3 linked regions of the Canis lupus familiaris genome follow. The protein of the gene in region 1 interacts with the protein of each later gene in a biochemical or structural test. Links are inferred from orthologs where the notes say so. Each region holds a gene or a part of one and is shown in the gene's direction. Other genes may lie near its edges.

The links. The genes of interacting proteins can lie anywhere in the genome.
Region 2: the proteins of DLG1 (region 1) and EVI5 interact in a test that uses a peptide from one of them, tested with the Homo sapiens proteins (2 studies listed by IntAct, with this or other methods). The link is inferred for Canis lupus familiaris from reciprocal best matches to the Homo sapiens genes DLG1 and EVI5.
Region 3: the proteins of DLG1 (region 1) and FRMPD4 interact in a test that uses a peptide from one of them, tested with the Homo sapiens proteins (2 studies listed by IntAct, with this or other methods). The link is inferred for Canis lupus familiaris from reciprocal best matches to the Homo sapiens genes DLG1 and FRMPD4.

Annotation. Positions count from the first base shown.
Region 1 is NC_049254.1:30,951,274-30,955,415, reverse strand, and holds the start of DLG1 (disks large homolog 1), read left to right. Parts: upstream 1-1,291; 5' UTR 1,292-1,465; intron 1,466-2,135; exon of another isoform or gene 2,136-2,288; intron 2,289-2,434; 5' UTR 2,435-2,483; coding exon 2,484-2,538; intron 2,539-3,651; coding exon 3,652-3,783; intron 3,784-4,142. UniProt on the Homo sapiens protein: Essential multidomain scaffolding protein required for normal development. Recruits channels, receptors and signaling molecules to discrete plasma membrane domains in polarized cells.
Region 2 is NC_049227.1:56,750,200-56,754,375, forward strand, and holds the start of EVI5 (ecotropic viral integration site 5 protein homolog), read left to right. Parts: upstream 1-1,328; 5' UTR 1,329-1,515; intron 1,516-4,176. UniProt on the Homo sapiens protein: Functions as a regulator of cell cycle progression by stabilizing the FBXO5 protein and promoting cyclin-A accumulation during interphase. May play a role in cytokinesis.
Region 3 is NC_049260.1:8,631,835-8,635,943, forward strand, and holds the start of FRMPD4 (FERM and PDZ domain-containing protein 4), read left to right. Parts: upstream 1-1,261; 5' UTR 1,262-1,477; coding exon 1,478-1,518; intron 1,519-4,109. UniProt on the Homo sapiens protein: Positive regulator of dendritic spine morphogenesis and density. Required for the maintenance of excitatory synaptic transmission. Binds phosphatidylinositol 4,5-bisphosphate.

The DNA of each region.
Region 1 (4,142 bases):
ACGGAATGTTGCTTTCAACTGTTGCTCAATCTCCCAAGATGGTTGAGCCAGGAAAGCATGCATAGACGCCTGCTGCTAATAAATCAACACACCACTGCCTAGTTTTCCAAAATCACAGTGGGAAGAGCCCTGTACTGGAGATAGGAGAACTAATGCTGGGCTACAGGTCCCTGGGCAGGTTGTTTCCCCTCCCTGAACCTGTTTATCTTAAATTGAAATACTGGGTCAGATGAGGCTCTAAAGTCGTTGGGTTCTGGCAAGTTAGAATTCCAAGGTGCAACCCAAAAGTGAAACCCAGTGGTCAGACTTCTGAGTAAGTGTCATGATTACAGTGCAAGGTTCCCGGGACTTCCCTTTATCAGCCCAAGGATGTGGCCTCAGCCAAAGGCTGGCAGGTTTACAGGGAAGTCTTCCGGTTTAGAAAGACGATCTTCTTCGTGTTTCCAGTTTTGTTACTAACTCCGGGTGACCTTGGGCAAACTCGCTCAGGACCTCAGACGAGGGAGGTCCCTGTTACCCCCCCCCCCCCCAAAAAAAAGGTCTGAACTTTGAGAGCTTTTCGCAAAATTTCTCTTCCTACAACCCGGGCGGCTCAGAGCCGGAGCCAGGGTCTGGCCCAGCCAGAAGTCCCCGCTGGGACCTGCGGTCTACACCCAACCCCGCCGCGCGCGCCGGAGGAGGTGGCTCGGTTTCGGTGGAGGTAGCTACAGGTGAGCTCTTAAAGGGGCCGCCACGAGCTCGGGTGACAACCTGAGACGGGTGACTGGGCGAGGAGTGCAGACACGGGCGTGTGGATGAACGAGCAAGGGAAAGAGGGAACCAGGGTTTTCTTCCCTCCCTTCAATGCATTCACGCTTAGACTTAATCAGACTTAAAAACCCTCCAGGAGCAAACGCCTCAAACTCTCAATCTAGTTTACAAGCCCTTCTTTTTTCAACCCCTCCCCCCCAAAAGACTTGTACTGACGGGCGAATAATTTATTTTTTAAAAAAGATTTTATTTATTTATTTATTTATTTATTTATTCATGATAGACATAGAGAGGGGGGGGGAGGCAGAGACACAGAGAGGGAGAAGCAGGCTCCACGCAGGGAGCCCGATGCGGGACTGGATCCCGGGGCTCCAGGATCGCGCCCCCAGCGATGCCCGATAGTTTAAAGCATCAGTACGTAGTGGCGGAGAGCGCGCCCCCACCCAGGCCCCGCCCCCTCCCCGGCCAGGCCCCGCCCCCGCGGCGGGCAGGCCCCGCCCCTCCCCGCGCCAGGCCCCGCCCCTTCCCCGGCCAGGCCCCGCCCCCCGCGCCCCTGACGTGGGCGGCGCGGTCTACTCCTCCGCGAGACCGCTCCTCGGGGCCGGGGATCCGCTCCCCGGGGGCGCCGGGACCTCGCCGCGCGCGGAGGCGGAGGCAGCACGCGTGTAGGGACGTTACGAGGTGTGTCGGCATGTGTGTCCCGGACCTGCTGTAGGTGAGGTCGCGTCGCGCTCGGAGCCGCGGGCTGCGGCGAGGTGAGGGCGGGCTCCGGGGGCCGCGCCGGGCCACCTGTGGAGCGCGCGCCCAGTCGTCGGGCCGCGGGGCCGCGCCGGGGCCGCCCGTCCGCGGGGAGGCCGGCGGGGCCGCGCGCCGGGCCCCGGCCCCTCCGCGCCGCCTCCCCCTGCCGCCCCGAAGGCAGCGGCGCTCCGAGCCCGGGGTGGGCGCCCGCCGCCTCCTCACTTCCCATTGGCTGGGAGCGCGGTCACGTGGGGCGCGGCCGGCCAGCTCCGGGGCCGCCATCTTGGCGGAAAGTTTGGGGGCCGAGCGGCGAGGGGCGCGGAGGGAGGGAGGGAGGGAGGGAGGCGACGCTCCGGGGGTGGGGCGGCGGCGGGCGCGGCGGCGGGGGCGGCGGCGGCGGCTCCTCCTCCTCCTCCTCCTCCTCCTCCCCGCCCCCCCCGGCTCGCTCACCCCCCGCGTGCTCGGCTCCTCGAGCCCCGGGCGGGGCCGGGCGGGCGGCCCCCGAGCCCGTCCCGAGCGCACGCCGCTCGCGGGAACTTGGCGCCGCAGGTGTGGGGCCCGCGGGCCCGTGTCCCCGCAGCCTCCAGCCTCGCGCCGCTGCGCCCCCGCGCCCCGGAGCAGGTGGGGCGTCTGCACGCGTCGGCCGGGCCCGCGTCCGGGCACCGAGCGCCCCTGGGAGCCGGAGCTGCAGGTCCCTGTGCGGGGGGGCCCTCCCTCGGGGGCAGCTTCCTGGGACCCCCCCCCCAACCCTGCTGTTTCACTTGGGAAAACTTGGGCAGCGGGTGTGGCCCCTTCTTCAGGTACGGCTGGGAGTTTTCCGCGATTTTGAGAGTTCAGGGGAGGAATGCAACTCAGCACCACGATCCTCTTGTTTTGCTTCGGTTGTTCCCTTACTGTTTTTTTTTTTTTTTTTTTTTTTTAATTTATTTTTAAAATTTTTTTAAAGGTGTGTGCCCTCTTTCCGATACTGGAGGGAAAAACAAAAAACAAAAAACATGCCGGTCCGGAAGCAAGGTGAGAATTTATTTCGGGACCTCTCTTCTCGTGCGGGTGAGTGAGTGAGAGTGTTGTGTCTGTGTTCTGATTTGTGTTTTAAAGATGTTGGATTAGGGGATCCCTGGGGGGCTCAGCGGTTTAGCACCTGCCTTTGGGCCGGGGCGTGACCCCGGGGTCCTGGACTGAGTCCGCATCAGCTCCCTGCAGGGAGCCTGCTTCTCCCTCCTCCTGTGTCTCTGCCCCCCCCCCCCCGCCCCCATCATCTATCTATCATAAATAAATAAATCTATCTTTAACAAAATAAAAATGTTGGACTCTGATAAGACGGCGTCGTCGCCCTTCCCTGCTTGTTAGGAGACCGAAGCCGCCTATCCTGGAGGGGAGGGACCCCTGTCAGTGTCGTTTTCAAACTTTTCTTTTCTGGCGTCGCGGTCTGTAGTGGCTCTCGAGAGGCAGGTTCCTGTTCACTCCTCTGAAAGGTCTTCGTGAAGACTCTTTAATTGGTGTTTTGATATTTTAACTTTATTTATTTATTTATTTTTTGATATTTTAACTTTATGATCTTAGGCACTCTTTTGTGAGCAGTCATGGGAACCTGGCTATAAGAACTGGTGTTTTGAAACAGTTAAGATTCGGATTATTATTATTATTTTTAAAGATTTTATTTATTTATTCATGATAGACATAGAGAGAGAAAGAGAGGCAGAGGCATAGGCAGAGGGAGAAGCAGGCTCCATGCTGGGAGCTGATGCGGGACTCTATCCTGGACCCCGGGGTCATGCCCTGGACCAAAGGCAGGTGCTAAACCGCCGAGCCACCCAGGGATCCCCCAAGATTCAGATTATAATAACAAATTGTAGGTAATCTGCTTTTGCATGTCGGATCGGCTGAAGCTGTGTTAACTGATACTTTGATCAAACAGCCTTGTGTTGTTTTAGACTACTACACATTTATCACCAACTGTTTATCTTCCTCCTTTTTCTGTGACATACATTTAGAAATGTTTCAATTATTCTAAGGAATATATGTGTGTGTGAGTGTAGCAGCGTTGATTGACCTAAAGGATTTGGGGAGGTGTTGAGATGTCTTGTAGGATGATTTGCTGCATAAGTAGTGTGTAATAACTGTATATGTGTAATTTTAATCAAACTCTTGTTTCCTTCCCAGACACCCAGAGAGCACTGCACCTTTTGGAAGAATATCGTTCAAAACTAAGCCAAACTGAAGACAGACAGCTCAGAAGTTCCATAGAACGAGTCATTAACATTTTTCAGAGCAACCTCTTTCAGGCTTTAATAGGTGGGAATTAAAACTTTATTTGTGACCATTATACATCAGCTAGGCTTAATGCTCCTCTGAATTCATTTATTTTATTTTATTATTATTATTATTATTTTTTAATTTTTATTTATTTACTTATGATAGTGACAGAGAGAGAGAGAGGCAGAGACACAGGCAGAGGGAGAAGCAGGCTCCATGCACCGGGAGCCTGATATGGGATTCGATCCCGGGTCTCCAGGATCGCGCCCTGGGCCAAAGGCAGGCGCCAAACCGCTGCGCCACCCAGGGATCCCTTCATTTATTTTAAAACTTAACAGAGTGACGTATTTGGTTCTCTGTAAGGCACTCAGTAACTTGAACATCCAGGGAGTTGTATG
Region 2 (4,176 bases), on another chromosome or scaffold:
TTTAAGATTTTATTTATTTATTCGAGAGAGAGCGAGAGAGAGAGAGAGAGAGAGAGAGAGAGCAGAGACACAGGCAGAGGGAGAAGCAGGCTCCATGCAAGGAGCCCTACGTGGGACGTGATTCCAGGTCTCCAGGATCCCGCTGAAAGCAGCTGAAAGCAGACGCTAAACCGCTGAGCCACCCGGCCTGCCCTATCTCTTAACTTTCTTATACAAAATGGATTCAGTTTCCATAAAATTGTTGACCAAAATTGACTTTAAATAATGGCATGACCTAAAAGTCATGAAAAAGTTTGCCCCTTAAAATTTCAAGGTTTCAAAGTTGCTAGCTGGGTGGAGGGCATGTTTCTACTTCCTATATTTTAGTATTTCCTAAGCCTGTTTTTTTTTTTTTAAAGGAGAGTTCTTTTCTCTAAAATGCTTACCACAGTGGAATCCCTTCTGGAGATTGTAAATTTATATCAGAAAATAACCGGGGGCTATCTAATATTTAGGCAAACAATTTTGGAGTCCTTTTGTGCTGGCAGTTGTCATTTTGTAACTTACAAATGTGTAATGAAAGTAATTTATATTGCTCTTATCATTTTTTCTTGTCCGCCTTTCTTGGAGTTGGACTGGAATTGGTAGATAGTTTCGGTCCCAAACTAACTACTTCTAAGAATTTATTTCTTCGTTGATACTGGATGGTTGCCCGGCTGGACTTCACGTGTTTGTGCCCATGTTCCGCCCCCTGTCGGACTCTGCATAAACCCAGCGTGGCCAGAAGACTGAAGGTAGAGGCATTTGCCATCACAAATGGTATTTGCACAGTGATCATTGTTTTGGAGAGTGACCGAGGTCACTCTCGGGGAGCTCGGGGGGCCTTTCGGAAGCCTGCGCTAGGCGCCGGGGGCCGGCGGCCTGGGAGGCGCGTGGGCGAGGCGGTAGCGGGAGGCCCGCAGCTGCGAGCTCGGGGTCGTGCGGGGCCCGCTGGGGGGGGGGGTGGTGTCCGGGGCAGCTCGTACGCGCAAGGGGGCGGTTCAAGAGACCGGGAAGTCTGCAGCTTGTAAGGCCGAGGGCTGAGCGCTTTCAAAGAGAGGCGGGGGAGGGAGCGGGATTTCCCCGCCCCCGTTCCCCCACGGCCCAATCCCTTCGGCTTCTCCTTTTCTCCTCCGGCCGCCCGGCCCCTAACCTGCTCGAACCCATTATGCGGTAGAGGCGGCCGGTCTCTTTAAGGCCCCGCCGCGCCTGCGCCCTGGGCTTTCCTGACGCGGCGGGCCGGACCCCGGAGGAGCCTGCGGGCGGGCAGGGCAGGGGGCCGGGGGTCGGGGGTCGGGGAGCAGCGCCGCGGCGGCGCCCGCAGGCTGCGCGAGGCTCGGAGGCGGCCCTGAGCTGCCGGGCGGGCGCGGCGCTCCGGGGGGCGAGGAAGGCGGCCCGGGGAGCCGGAGCGGGGCCGAGGCGCTGAGACGCGGCGGCGAGGCTGCCGGCTGGATGGGAAGTTAATGTTTACGGCGGAGTCCACCCAACGTTTCCAAGGTGAGGGGCGCCGCGCCAGGCCGGGCGGGCCGCGAGCCCGGGTTCCGCTGGGCGCGCGGCGGACGGCGGGGCCGCGGCGCGGCGAGCGGGGGCCGCCGCCGAACTTGCCGCACGAGCGGGGCGGGCGCGCTCGGCGCCGCCGGGGCCTAAGTTCGCTGAGGCCGCGGCGGCCCGGGACCCTCCCGCCGTGGGCGCCGGCTAGGAAGCTCGCCGGCGGCGCCTGCACTGGACTCGCCGCGAGGCGGAGGGACCGGGCGGCTTCGGGGGCGCTCGCCCGCGGCTCCCGGGGGACGCTGACCTTTCGGCCCCGCCCTCGAGGCCAGGAGTCCGTGCTCGCCGGGCGTCTTCGCGGACTGAGACCGCCGGCGCCCCTGACTTGCAAAGTTGGCGTCTTTACGTGGGCCCCGGGATTCTGCGCAAGGCGTTTCTCCAGGCGGGTGGGTGACGGGCTCGCCAGGTGTGCTGCGTGAGCCCCAGGGATGCGCTCGGGCAGCGGTCGCACCCGTGCCCGGATCACCTCATGACTAGCGGGGCAAGCCTCAGATTGACCGCAGAATTTCCGGTACATTGGATTGTGGTGTTGGTGTTTGCTTTAGAATTGCCGTGATTTCTTTGTGCCTTTTTTTTTTTTTTTTTTTTTTTTTTTTTTGAGGGGAGGGGAGCGTCTTAAGTCAGTTGTCATCCTTTCAACGAAGAGTTAAAAACTTTGGAGTGGTTCCTTTGCTTTTCCCTGTATCCTTTGCCGTTAGAGGTGACTTTGAAAAAGCAGCATTTTCTCGCACAGATATCTTTTCTTTGGGTTACACTGTAGAATAATAAACTCCTTTCTTCGCTGAAATGAGAGAAACCCAGTGCTCCTTGAAAATCAAGAAAAGCTATCTGTTGGTGGTTTTTACTTTTGTTCTGGACTGATATGTGTTAGCAGTTTTTTTTTTTTTTTTTTTTTTGGTTTTTAATTTCATTCGTAAACTTTGTTGAGTTCACCTGAAGCTCCTTTTCTGTTCTAAAACGCTACTAGCCTTACGGTCTCTGAGAACTTTGTGTCAAGAAAACTTAGAAAACTTATTGAAGAATAATAAACAGAAAAAGTGCACAATCCGGAGTGCAGGTAAAGGAATTTTTTTTTTTTTTTTTACTAAGTGTGCCATCGCAGTTCAGGAAACAGTATTTCTAGGTTGGGGTTTATTTTTATTTTTTTTTATTAAAAAAATTTTTTTTTCTTTAAAAAAATTTTTTTTCTTTAAGATTTTATTTATTTATTCATGATAGTCACACACACACAGAGAGAGAGAGGCAGAGACATAGGCAGAGGGAGAAGCAGGCTCCATGCAGGGAGCCCGATGTGGGATTCGATCCCGAGTCTCCAGGATCGCGCCCTGGGCCAAAGGCAGGCGCCAAACCGCTGCGCCACCCAGGGATCCCTAGGTTGGGGTTTAGACCTGGGAGTGGAATTGGTTTGTGAGGTATGTGAATGATAAAACTCTAGCATTAGGTACTGTTGAACATTTTCCCAAAGTGGTTGTGCTAATTAGCAGGGAATGGTAATCCAATTACCCCACATTCTTGCTGATGCTTGTCAGTTCAAAACATTTTTGCTATTCTGGTAGAGGTGCAATAATATATTAGTGTGGTTTTATTTTGTGTTTTCCTAATGGTTGTGGCTTTATCTTTTATTGGTCATTTGTATGTCTTTTGTGAGATGTCTGAGTCTTATTTTTTTAGGATTTTTTCGATAAGAGCCCTTTCTGGGAGGTACACACACACACACATATCCATATCTGTAACCTATACATAGTTTATCTTATTCCATTTTGTCTTTCCATCTTTTAATAGTGTTTTTTCTTTTTTTTTTGATGGACATTGTTAATTTCAATGAAATGTATTTACTGTTTTTCTTTGAGTACTGCTTTCTGTGCCCTATTTAAGAAATCGTGCCTAGCCTAAGAATATGAAGATATTTTCCTATGTTACCTTACAGAAGTTTTTTTCCTTACAGAAGTTTTATTTTGTTTTACTTTTCACATTTAATTTGTGCAATTTCGAGTAAATTTCAGGTGGATTGTAGGGGATCAAGATTCACTTTTAGCCAGGTGAATATCTTTTTGACCTAGCACCATTTTTGAAAATAAAGTACCATACTTGTCCCTCTGCACTGTGTGACACTTTCTCATAAATCAGGTGATTGTTTAAGTGTGGATCTGTTTGTGGGTACTGTATTTTGTTTTACTGGTCTATTTGTTATCCTTGCACCAGTATCACTATTAATTAATGTAACTGTATAATAAGCCTTGATATGTGATAGTATAAGGCCTCTAACTTTGTTTTTTTTAAATATTGGTCAGTTCTTTCCTCTTAGCATTTCCGTATAAATTTCAGATTCTGCTTGTCAATTTCAATAGATTTTGGAAATTGGAATTGAATCTATATATATCAGTTTGGAGAGTATCTTAACATTGAGTTTTCTAGTATATGAGCGTGGCATATACTTGTATTTATTTAAGTCTTTTTAAAATTTCAGTAATGTTTTGTAGTTTTCTGTGTAGAAGTCTTGCATATCTTTTATTCTTAGCTATTTGAAATTTTTGATGTTACTTTAAATGATATATATATATTTTAAAGATTTATTTATTTATTTATTTATTCATGACACATGTAGAGAGA
Region 3 (4,109 bases), on another chromosome or scaffold:
AGGTGAACGCTTCTGGGTGGGAGAACACACACTTTGTGCAGCCATCTGACCTTCAGAGAGTCTGGGGAGAGATTTTAAAGGATTTTGGAGAAGAGGCCTTGAGACTCCAAGGGAAAGAACAAGAAAAAAGAGGCCCGGAGAAGCCTGAGCCTCCGGGGACAGAGAACTGAGTTAATGAAGAGGGCTGATTACCCAAGATAATTATGTAAAAGAGAAGGCTAGAGTTCTACATGGCTGCAACTTGGAGTTTACTCTGCCTAAGGTGAGTGTTTGTTTATGTGTCCGGCGTTTTGTTTTTATGAGTAAGGTTTTTTGGGTTTTTTTTTTTTTTTTTTTTTGGTTTTTTGTTTTTTTCCTTTTGTACCGGCTGCTCAATTTGAGAAAGCGTCTCAGCTCTGCCTCCCAGACCCCGATCGCGTCCCTTCTCCTCCTTTAGATTCGGAGCCCCATTCCTAGCCGTCTCCCCGCCGCTGGCTTCTGGGACCCTCCTCTCCGTACCCCCGTAGCGAGAAGCCGCCCGGTGTGCACCGTCGCCCCTCCAAACGCCTCCCGGTCCTATTTTCTAATTTCTCCAACGCTCGCCGGGTGCTGCTGTCCAAAGACACACCTTCCCAGCCAGCCCAGCTGTCGCGTCTAGCTCCAGTGGTTGGGGGAAGCAGTGGGACCTCTGTGCTCTCCAGACCGAGCCGCGGTGCTGGGCATCTCTCCCTCCCCTTCCCCTTGACAGACCATCCGGCCCGGATCGTCCCTACTCCTTCCCCATCGCTAGTTTTGTTTATGGAACATACCAAGGCTCCGGCAACCTGCGGTTGCACGGCTCCCCCCCGGTTTGGGGAGGGAGGGGGGAGCGTTCGCCGTCCCCGCTGTGCCCGAGACTGTTAGATCAATCTTTCAGATCTGGAGGCACCCGCAGCTGGTGACAGGAGAGCCCCCCCGCCCCCCGCGGGTGGGGGTAGGGAGAGGAGAAGGGACTCAGCTTGGGGAAGGAGGCAGGGAGGCAGCTGCAGTGCCGCGAGGGGTGCGTGCGCGTGTGCCAGGCTCGCCCGCCACCTCCCGGCTCAGTCTGCGCTCCTCCGCTCGCGGGGCAGCCGGGCCGGCGGGCTGGGGAGCGGGAGCGGCGCCCCTCGCCCGGGCCTCGCCTCCCCGGCGCGCCCGGGAGTCCCCCAGGCCGGGGCGCACACCCGGGCCACGCTCCCCACCCCCGCCCCTCGCACCCTCCACGGCCCCCTCTCCGTGGAGTTTTCCAACACGGGCGCCCGTCAATGGTCCTGCTCCGGGATGCACACGCAGCTCACGGCCGGAGGGGGGTAGCAGCCGCCGCCTCCAGGTGCGGGCTCTCCAGGTCCGCCGCCGCCACCCGCCGTCGCCGCCACTCGAGCCCCGGGGCGCGCTGAGGTCCCGGCCGGCCATGGGGCTGCCGTTGCTGGCGTGAGAAGGGGCGCCGCAGCCTCCGTGCTCGGGGTGCCCGGCTGCCTGCATGGATGTCTTCAGCTTTGTGAAGATTGCAAAGCTCTCGAGGTAGGGGCTGCGCCGGTTCATTTGCACCCGGGGCCGCCGCAGCCGGCAACTTGGTGCTTTATTTTTCGGGAGGCTTGGGGGGAGGCAAAAGCTGGAGAGAGCAGCGGGGCTTAAGGAAGGACTGAAAGGAGGGGGCCAGGGGCTGCGTTCAACTTCTCTCCCACTGGCTGGTGGGGCTTGTGTATCGGCGGCTGTAGAGCACAGGCGCGCGCGCACACACACACACACACACACACACACATGCACACCCTCAGGCACGCACCAATAGTCATGACAGTTTGTTTTCCCTTAGGAAAAACCCCAGTGGTGCTTGGGGGTCACATGTATAATTCAGGGCCAAGCGAAGATGGTTGTAATTGCTACTGGAGGCAAAGCCAGAAGTGCTTGGAGTTTGGGTTCCTGCTTCCTAAGCGGCACTGACCAAAAGTGGCCCCCTGGTCCCCACCCCTAAATTAGACCTCCACACCCTGAAAACTCAGCTTGTAGGTTGACCTGGGTAATTGTCCCGTGTTTCCAGCAGTGACCTAGATGCTGAAGACACGGAGACCGAAGAAAGAGACCTTTTAGCCTTTCCTTGGGTAACTATGTAGTCCCAAGCCCTGAAAAATTGAGAAATTTGCTTCCAAGGGGCCATGTTGTTGAGACAGAAGAAAAATCATGGATTCAGGCAGATTTCTCTGGCAGTGCTGATAGAGGAAGAAGATTTCCACTTTGGGGGCGCCTAGGTGTTACCTGGTCAGAGCATTTGCTCTAGGTTTTCTGCCCTGCTTATGCTTCCAAAGTCTTCATCAAACCCAGGAAGTAGGTCTGTCCTTCTGGCAGTGTGGCGTGAACTGGGAAGCGCCTGGTATGAGAAGGCTTAGAAGACCACACTCCACCTTCTTCACCCACGTCTTTGGGATGATGAGCCTTCTGCCCCTTGAGCTTGGCTCTTTACAGCAGTCACCAACCACGGCCTTAGGAGGTAGACAGGAAGAGTTTTCCAGGATGCAGTTTAGACTTCCTTGGAATTACGAGAAAATGGTTCTAGGTTTTCCTTTATTCCTTAGTGTCAGGGTGGGATGTGTTGATTGCACCAGGCAAGGATGAGCAGCCTCAGATAGCCCGGATAAAAAATGTGTGTTGACTTGGCTTGGCCAAATTACATTTGGGCCATTTTGGAAGCATTCGGTTTGCAAGTTGCCTTTCAGATGTGCCTTTCACCAACATCCACAGGTCTTTATGTGTTCTTAGTGCCCATCTCCACCTTCCCTCTCTGCTCACATGAGTCACTCTTAATGTCACAGCAGATTTTCCAGGGAGAGGGCCCAGGGTAACTTAGTCTGGATAGACATGAGGTATACGGCTGATGGGTAAATATGTCTGTCTTGGAGCAGCCCACGAAGAGGTGTTTTCCCTGCACATCAGAAGACTGACATGTCAAAGGGTGGGTGATTGTAGTGTGGCAAATTGTTTGATCTCACGCCAATATCACAGAGGGCCAGGCATCACACCTCTGTTCTGTTAACTTCCTGCATGCTTCTGCCTATGGCTGGTTTATAAACAGCTGTCGAGTCACAAACCATGGATGGTAAACGGCCGTGAGCAACAGTTTAGTGATTGCCCTGGTGCCATCTGCGTGATGGACAGAGACTGCCGAAGGAAAAGAAGTTCAACAGTATAAAGTAACCAAGATAGATTTTGGTGGCCTCAACTGCTAGAAGTGATAGATGTTAAAAAACATCCAGAGCCTAGATTTAGTCCTTAAACTTTGGAGTTTGGGAGAGGACAGTGCTGTATATCAGTGAAAAGATGGTTTATATTCATTTTGCTAAATTCTGGGATGCCTTCGTGATATTCACAAATCTGAGTTTTTGCAAAACCCAAGCCAGGCTGTGGGGGATTAGGATCTTATTTTAAAGAGAGGTTAAAATTTAGTAAATGAGTGTGAATTTCACTTTCTGTCCTTAACGTGATCCAAATAGAGTGTTTATTCTAAAGAGAGAAGCTGCACATGTTCTGAGCTTATGTGCCCATTAAGAAATCTTTCATCCATAGGCATTCTTCTTGTTGCTCAGTGTGAGCTCGGCGCTGGTCCCCAAGCTGAGATAGCAGTACGTGTAGAGGGTCATCAGTACGCCGAGGCACATGTTTACAGCTGCTGCTCCCTGGCCTTGTAGGAATAAAGTCTTGTGCATGTGTTTTAAACACTGTTACAGAAATCAGGTTCTTTTCTCAAAGGCGAAGTATAAAAGTGCTTACACTGCAGGATTTTCCTGATTTCAGAATGGATAATCTTCCTAAAGGATTTAGCTTTGATCAGCGTGGTTACTTGAGTGCTTAAAATTCTCGTGGTTTAGAGGTGAACGAACACACACACACAGTTACCCCGGGCCTTCGCCTTGTCTTTGGTTCCCAAGAACTTGAGTTTCTACATGTTAATTCGGGAAGCGGTTGCTGTAGAAAGCATACATGCTATTTGCCAAATGTCCTGTCTGCGAGTAAAGACAGAGGTAATTACAGAGAATTATTGAGAGACTATGAGTCCACGCTGGAATTAACACAGTAGTTTGACTTCTCAAAGTACCCACGTTTAACCACTTGTTCCCAGA